Saccharomyces cerevisiae S288C: one gene and its partner. The protein of the gene in region 1 binds, or shares a complex with, the protein of each later gene. Each region holds a gene or a part of one and is shown in the gene's direction. Other genes may lie near its edges.

Region 1 (3,163 bases):
ATGGGTCCCCATGCCCTTTTTTTTCGTTTCTTTTTTCACTCCATTTCTTTTTTTTTTTTTTTTTTTGGTGAAAAATTTGCAAGGGCAGCTCATCGCAAGAACGAAAATTTTCAATCCAATATTAAAAGTACTTAAGTGTAGCTGTTGCTGTCTGCACTTCCCAATCCATTGGTACCTTAAGTTATTTCCTTTCGTAGTATTTTTCTTACTTTTGCTTCCCAAAGACGAACTGTTAACCAATTTCGGATCACTCAACCCAGGCAGGATAAAATAAGATGGCTAAGACTACTAAAGTAAAAGGTAACAAGAAGGAAGTTAAGGCTTCCAAACAAGCCAAAGAAGAAAAAGCTAAGGCCGTCTCTTCCTCTTCCTCCGAATCTTCATCCTCATCTTCATCTTCATCTGAATCTGAATCTGAGTCTGAGTCTGAATCTGAATCTTCATCTTCATCTTCATCCTCTGATTCTGAATCCTCTTCTTCATCGTCTTCTGACAGCGAAAGTGAAGCTGAAACCAAGAAGGAAGAATCCAAGGATTCCTCTTCCTCTTCCTCTGACTCTTCTTCCGACGAAGAAGAAGAAGAAGAAAAAGAAGAAACCAAGAAGGAAGAATCAAAAGAATCTTCTAGCTCTGATTCATCCTCATCTTCATCTTCTGATAGCGAAAGCGAAAAGGAAGAGTCTAACGATAAGAAACGTAAATCTGAGGACGCCGAAGAAGAAGAAGACGAAGAGTCTTCCAACAAGAAGCAAAAAAATGAAGAAACCGAAGAACCAGCTACTATTTTCGTTGGTAGACTATCGTGGTCTATTGATGACGAATGGTTGAAGAAGGAATTCGAACACATCGGTGGTGTCATTGGTGCCAGAGTTATTTATGAAAGAGGTACCGATAGATCTCGTGGTTATGGTTACGTTGATTTTGAAAACAAATCTTATGCTGAAAAGGCCATTCAAGAAATGCAAGGTAAGGAAATTGATGGTAGACCAATCAACTGTGATATGTCCACAAGCAAGCCAGCTGGTAACAACGATCGTGCCAAGAAATTCGGTGATACCCCATCTGAACCATCTGACACTTTGTTCTTGGGTAACTTATCTTTCAATGCTGACAGAGACGCTATTTTCGAATTATTCGCTAAACACGGTGAAGTTGTTTCCGTCCGTATCCCAACACATCCAGAAACTGAACAACCAAAAGGTTTCGGTTATGTTCAATTCTCCAACATGGAGGACGCCAAGAAGGCTCTAGACGCTTTACAAGGTGAATACATTGACAACAGACCAGTTAGATTAGACTTCTCTTCTCCAAGACCAAACAACGATGGTGGTCGTGGCGGTAGCCGTGGTTTTGGTGGTCGTGGCGGTGGTCGTGGCGGTAACCGTGGATTCGGTGGTCGTGGTGGCGCTCGCGGTGGCCGTGGCGGTTTCAGACCATCTGGTTCTGGTGCTAATACTGCTCCATTGGGCAGATCAAGAAATACCGCTTCTTTCGCTGGTTCAAAGAAAACATTTGATTAATGAGAAAATGAAATGAATTTCAATTTCAATTTTTTCTCTTTTTACGTTAATTACTATATTCCATTTTTGAGGAAAAATTTGGTCTATAATATTTTGTGTACATTAGTAAGTAAATAGGATACATTCTTAAACCTTTCATTCACCATCTCTATTTGCCAACTTTTCTTCGAATGGCTTACTCTTTTTTTTTTCACGATGAGATGAGATCGCTAGATACGGAAGATTACAAGGCCTTGGAAAATACTCAAAAAATTTCAGTAATATGAAATGAATATCTAAATAAAAGCTTGGGCGTTGTGCTTGATTGAGCCACGAAAACTTCCTTTAAGGATTAGCACATACTCCACTTAAAAGTAGGAACATACTCACATTAAGGTGTTATCAGAATAAATGAATGTTCAAGACAGAAGGAGGTTATTAGGCCCTGCTGCTGCCAAGCCAATGGCGTTTAGCAACACTACTACTCATGTGCCAGAAAAGAAATCAACAGATTTGACACCTAAAGGCAATGAAAGTGAACAGGAACTTTCTCTACATACCGGTTTCATCGAAAACTGCAATGGATCTGCATTAGTAGAAGCTAGAAGCTTAGGACACCAAACATCGCTCATTACCGCTGTCTATGGACCACGCTCCATTAGAGGATCCTTCACATCTCAAGGTACTATATCTATTCAGTTAAAGAACGGTCTTCTGGAAAAATATAACACAAATGAACTGAAGGAAGTTAGCAGCTTTTTAATGGGCATTTTCAATTCAGTAGTAAACCTATCTCGCTACCCCAAGTCCGGCATCGATATCTTCGTTTATTTAACGTATGATAAGGATCTTACAAATAATCCTCAGGACGACGATTCGCAAAGCAAAATGATGTCTTCTCAAATATCATCTCTCATACCACATTGTATCACTAGTATAACGCTAGCCTTAGCTGATGCCGGCATCGAATTAGTGGATATGGCAGGTGCCGGTGAGGCCAATGGCACTGTCGTATCATTCATCAAAAATGGAGAGGAAATTGTAGGTTTTTGGAAGGATGATGGTGACGATGAAGATCTTTTGGAATGCCTTGATCGTTGCAAGGAGCAATATAACCGTTATAGAGATTTAATGATAAGCTGTTTAATGAACCAGGAAACTTAGACACGAGATTATCCTAGTCGGAAAGAAAAGTGAAAGAGGTTAAGAAAAAATTCATGGTAAAAGAAGCGCACAAAGGCATTGTACATCAACATCATAATTTATAATGTCATTCTGCATATATGGTAGCTCCATTATATTACAACAACATAACTACTTCTATTCAAAATGTTAACTTGAATCCTAGTACTTTTTAAATATATATACTCAAAAAAAAAAAACTCAAGCAAGACTATCAAGCGTTTGTTTTATATCCCAAGCGCGATGCGAAATAACGTGAGCGTCACCATTGACTCTCCTCATATACTCAGACGAAAGTTCGACGCCAATTGAGTTCTTAATCAATTGTTTCAAGCTGTCCATCCCGAAGAACTTATTTCCTAATGGACGAAATTTACCATCCTTCAAAACGTTGACTTTCGTCAAAAACTCAGTCAAATCCTTCTCAAACAGTTCAGGTGTCGTGGTATTTAGTACCGGCAATGAAATTTCAAATGGTGTAG
Region 2 (3,624 bases), on another chromosome or scaffold:
AGTAATACCGATAGTCCTGTTTTTTGGTACAGGTCTACTATCAACAAAGGATTTCAACACATTCCCTTGGTCAATTGTTGTTCTTGCTATGGGTGGTATAGCCCTTGGTAAGGCAGTTTCATCTTCAGGCTTGTTGGTAACTATTGCAAGAGCATTACAAAAGAAAATTCAGAACGATGGTGTTTTTGCTATCTTATGTATTTTCGGTATTTTAATGTTAGTTGTGGGCACTTTTGTCTCACATACTGTGTCAGCAATCATCATTATTCCCTTGGTGCAAGAAGTTGGTGACAAATTATCCGATCCAAAGGCAGCTCCAATTCTTGTGTTCGGTTGCGCCTTGTTAGCCTCATGCGGTATGGGGTTGGCTTCATCTGGATTTCCAAACGTTACTGCTATTTCTATGACCGATAAAAAGGGTAATAGATGGCTAACTGTAGGCGCTTTTATCTCCAGAGGTGTTCCTGCTTCGTTGTTAGCGTTTGTCTGCGTAATTACTCTCGGTTATGGTATTAGTTCTTCCGTCTTAAAAGGTAGCACTTAAACTGCCCTCATGTAATTACATTTCTTATTACTGCATTCTTTGTACCTTTTTAAACTTTATATATATGACGAAAACTAAAATTTAACAAACTAAAAGTAAAAAATTGCAGTAGATTTTATGCATCTTTCTGAACATCTTTATACAGTGGCATGCTTTCAGCAGCACCTTTTCTTTGAATGGTCAATGAACTAGCTAATGTAGAGAACTTTATAGCCGTAGACAAGGTCTCTCCTTGATACAATTGAGTAACCAAACCGCCCAGGAAAGTATCTCCAGCTCCTGTAGTATCAACAACCGAAACATTTTGAATAGCCGGAAGGAATTGTACTTCAGGGCTTTCGTGCGAACAGAAAAGCACCCCTCTCGAACCCAAAGTCATAACCACAATTCCTCTTTTCTTTCGATTCATGAGTTTTTCATACAAAAGCTCACAAATTTTACGATATTCTCCTAAAAAGTCGTCCTTTATCTTCTCCCTTATTTCTTCAACAAGTTCATTATCAAATACACTTTCCACGATTTGAAGACCCTCAATTTCATTAACGACCAAAAGGTCTACCAACTCCCAATCTTTCTTAGGCATGGCCTTGAAAGGTGAGGGGTTATATACGATCTGAAAATTCGGCCTGTTCGCATGTATCCATTTAATAATGGAAAGAGGATCAGGAATTTCGTGTTGAAAAACAACATACTCTTCTTCCTCCTTGCCCTCTGGAAAAATTTCACACAACTGTTTCGGGTCATAAATAGTCTTGCTGTTAGCACCTTCTACAATCAATATCCTATTTTGGCCACCAGCTTTCTCTTCAATTAGTATGGTAGCGGTACCCGTATTAATGCCTTCGTAAGTACCGACGTGAGTGATATCGACTCCGCAATCGGATAAAGTGTCCTTCAATTGTTTACCAAATGTATCATTTCCAACATTACCAATCATTCGAACACTATATCTGCTGCTGGGGTTTTTTAATTTACCAATGGCCGCAGCTTGGTTCAATCCCTTACCACCAGCATGTGTTTCGAAGTGGTTAGCCCTGAAAGTTTCTCCAGCGTTAGGTAATCTATCCGTAAATGTGTCCAAATCATAGTTTAGAGAACCTATTACTGTAATACCCATCTTTGAAATATGCTGTTGGAACTTTGGGATGAAAGACAACAAACATCTTATTGGCTATTTTTATCCTATTTGCTTCATGATTGTTCTGGCCACCTTCGGATATAAACCCTTTTATTCCCGTTTGATCTGGAGAGATTTTCAAATCACAGTCGACGAAAGTATAAGATTTTTCTTTCTTTTTTTATGACAGAGTATATAACAATAATGGACAAATTAGACGATGAGTATTGTTACACAAATAAGTTTGACAGTAGTTTCACAGGCATCTAATATTGGAAATGGCTGAAAGTACCACGTTAGAAACTATTGAGATACACCCAATTACTTTTCCACCTGAAGTTCTTGCGAGAATATCTCCAGAATTGTCTTTACAAAGACACTTATCCCTAGGAATCAGGCCATGTCTAAGAAAATATGAAGAATTTAGAGATGTTGCTATAGAAAATAATACTTTATCGCGTTATGCGGATGCTGGTAATATAGACACTAAAAACAACATTTTAGGCTCAAATGTTTTGAAAAGTGGGAAAACCATAGTCATAACTTCTATTACGGGTGGAATAATAGAAGAAACTAGCGCCGCGATTAAAGATTTGGATGATTTCGGTGAGGAAGAATTGTTCGAAGTGACCAAAGAGGAGGACATAATTGCAAATTATGCTTCTGTCTATCCGGTGGTGGAAGTTGAAAGAGGTAGAGTGGGCGCTTGCACCGATGAAGAAATGACTATATCACAAAAACTACACGATTCCATATTGCACTCTAGGATATTGCCTAAAAAAGCCTTGAAGGTAAAAGCTGGTGTTCGTAGTGCGAATGAAGACGGTACGTTTTCCGTCTTGTATCCCGATGAATTAGAAGATGATACGCTGAATGAAACAAACCTGAAAATGAAAAGAAAATGGTCATACGTTTTGTATGCGAAAATTGTAGTCTTGAGTCGCACTGGTCCAGTCTTCGATTTGTGTTGGAATTCTTTGATGTACGCTTTACAGAGCGTAAAGTTACCTAGAGCATTTATAGATGAGCGTGCGTCCGATTTAAGAATGACTATAAGAACAAGAGGAAGAAGTGCCACCATAAGAGAAACGTATGAAATTATTTGCGACCAAACTAAGTCAGTACCGTTAATGATAAACGCAAAGAATATTGCATTTGCTTCAAATTATGGGATAGTGGAGTTAGACCCCGAATGCCAATTACAAAACTCTGATAACTCTGAAGAAGAGGAAGTGGACATTGATATGGATAAATTGAACACTGTGCTAATAGCAGACCTAGATACTGAAGCGGAAGAAACAAGTATACACAGTACGATCTCCATCCTCGCTGCTCCTTCAGGTAACTATAAGCAATTAACATTAGTGGGAGGAGGCGCTAAAATAACGCCAGAAATGATAAAAAGATCATTGTTGTTATCTAGGGTTAGAGCGGACGATTTGTCAACAAGATTTAACATATAAAAGACTCGGATAAAATTATCTGATGACTGTCGAAAGGAAACGGAAAACTTTTTTCAACGATAACATGTGTATGTAATATATAACAAAACCATCCGGTCTTTTACAATATAATAATAGTGATAATAGTAACAATAGATCCACTAAGAAAAAACGAATATACGAAAGTTGAATACTTAAATTCTTTCAAAGATTTTACACTTACCTTTTTCTTCTGTGTTGAGGTTTTGGTGATGGAGATGGAGTAGGAACGTTTTTCAAGTCAACGTTAACATACTCATTAACCTTTGCGGCAACACCGCCGTGGGCACGCTTTACCACTCTACTGGTTTTGGTGCCTTTACGTTTATAAACGTTAATGTAAAATGAAATAAATAGTACCAAATATGAAGAAATAATGGCACAACCTGCAAAGGTGGCAGTTGTTGAACCCACACAGTCACCACAATGTGGCAAAATTGGGAAATACAAGTGAACTGCTTTTTGGTAGACAGCAAAATATA

What was found. The genes of interacting proteins can lie anywhere in the genome.
Region 2: the proteins of MTR3 (region 1) and RRP43 are in contact, whole or in part, in a cryo-EM structure (PDB 5G06), measured with the Saccharomyces cerevisiae proteins. Residues at the interface, in NP_011674.3 of Saccharomyces cerevisiae: Arg6 (codon at 1,926), Arg7 (codon at 1,929), Arg8 (codon at 1,932), Leu9 (codon at 1,935), Leu10 (codon at 1,938), Gly11 (codon at 1,941), Pro12 (codon at 1,944), Ala14 (codon at 1,950), Ala15 (codon at 1,953), Lys16 (codon at 1,956), Pro17 (codon at 1,959), Met18 (codon at 1,962), Ala19 (codon at 1,965), Phe20 (codon at 1,968), Ser21 (codon at 1,971), Gly51 (codon at 2,061), Phe52 (codon at 2,064), Ile53 (codon at 2,067), Glu54 (codon at 2,070), Asn55 (codon at 2,073), Cys56 (codon at 2,076), Ile74 (codon at 2,130), Tyr78 (codon at 2,142), Arg81 (codon at 2,151), Gln96 (codon at 2,196), Lys98 (codon at 2,202), Leu101 (codon at 2,211), Leu102 (codon at 2,214), Glu103 (codon at 2,217), Lys104 (codon at 2,220); in NP_009964.2 of Saccharomyces cerevisiae: Thr58 (codon at 2,111), Leu59 (codon at 2,114), Arg61 (codon at 2,120), Asp64 (codon at 2,129), Asn67 (codon at 2,138), Asp69 (codon at 2,144), Thr70 (codon at 2,147), Lys71 (codon at 2,150), Asn72 (codon at 2,153), Asn73 (codon at 2,156), Ile74 (codon at 2,159), Leu75 (codon at 2,162), Lys81 (codon at 2,180), Lys84 (codon at 2,189), Ile86 (codon at 2,195), Ile88 (codon at 2,201), Ser90 (codon at 2,207), Thr92 (codon at 2,213), Gly93 (codon at 2,216), Gly94 (codon at 2,219), Ile95 (codon at 2,222), Ile96 (codon at 2,225), Tyr131 (codon at 2,330), Pro132 (codon at 2,333), Val133 (codon at 2,336), Glu135 (codon at 2,342), Glu137 (codon at 2,348), Arg138 (codon at 2,351), Gly139 (codon at 2,354), Arg140 (codon at 2,357).

Annotation. Positions count from the first base shown.
Region 1 is NC_001139.9:804,769-807,931, reverse strand, and holds MTR3 (exosome non-catalytic core subunit MTR3), read left to right. Parts: upstream 1-1,910; coding exon 1,911-2,663; downstream 2,664-3,163. Other genes in the region: NSR1 (Nsr1p), read left to right, coding at 276-1,520; CHO2 (phosphatidylethanolamine N-methyltransferase), read right to left, coding at 2,883-3,163.
Region 2 is NC_001135.5:191,334-194,957, reverse strand, and holds RRP43 (exosome non-catalytic core subunit RRP43), read left to right. Parts: upstream 1-1,939; coding exon 1,940-3,124; downstream 3,125-3,624. Other genes in the region: PHO87 (SPX domain-containing inorganic phosphate transporter), read left to right, coding at 1-544; RBK1 (putative ribokinase), read right to left, coding at 660-1,661; fatty acid elongase ELO2, read right to left, coding at 3,323-3,624.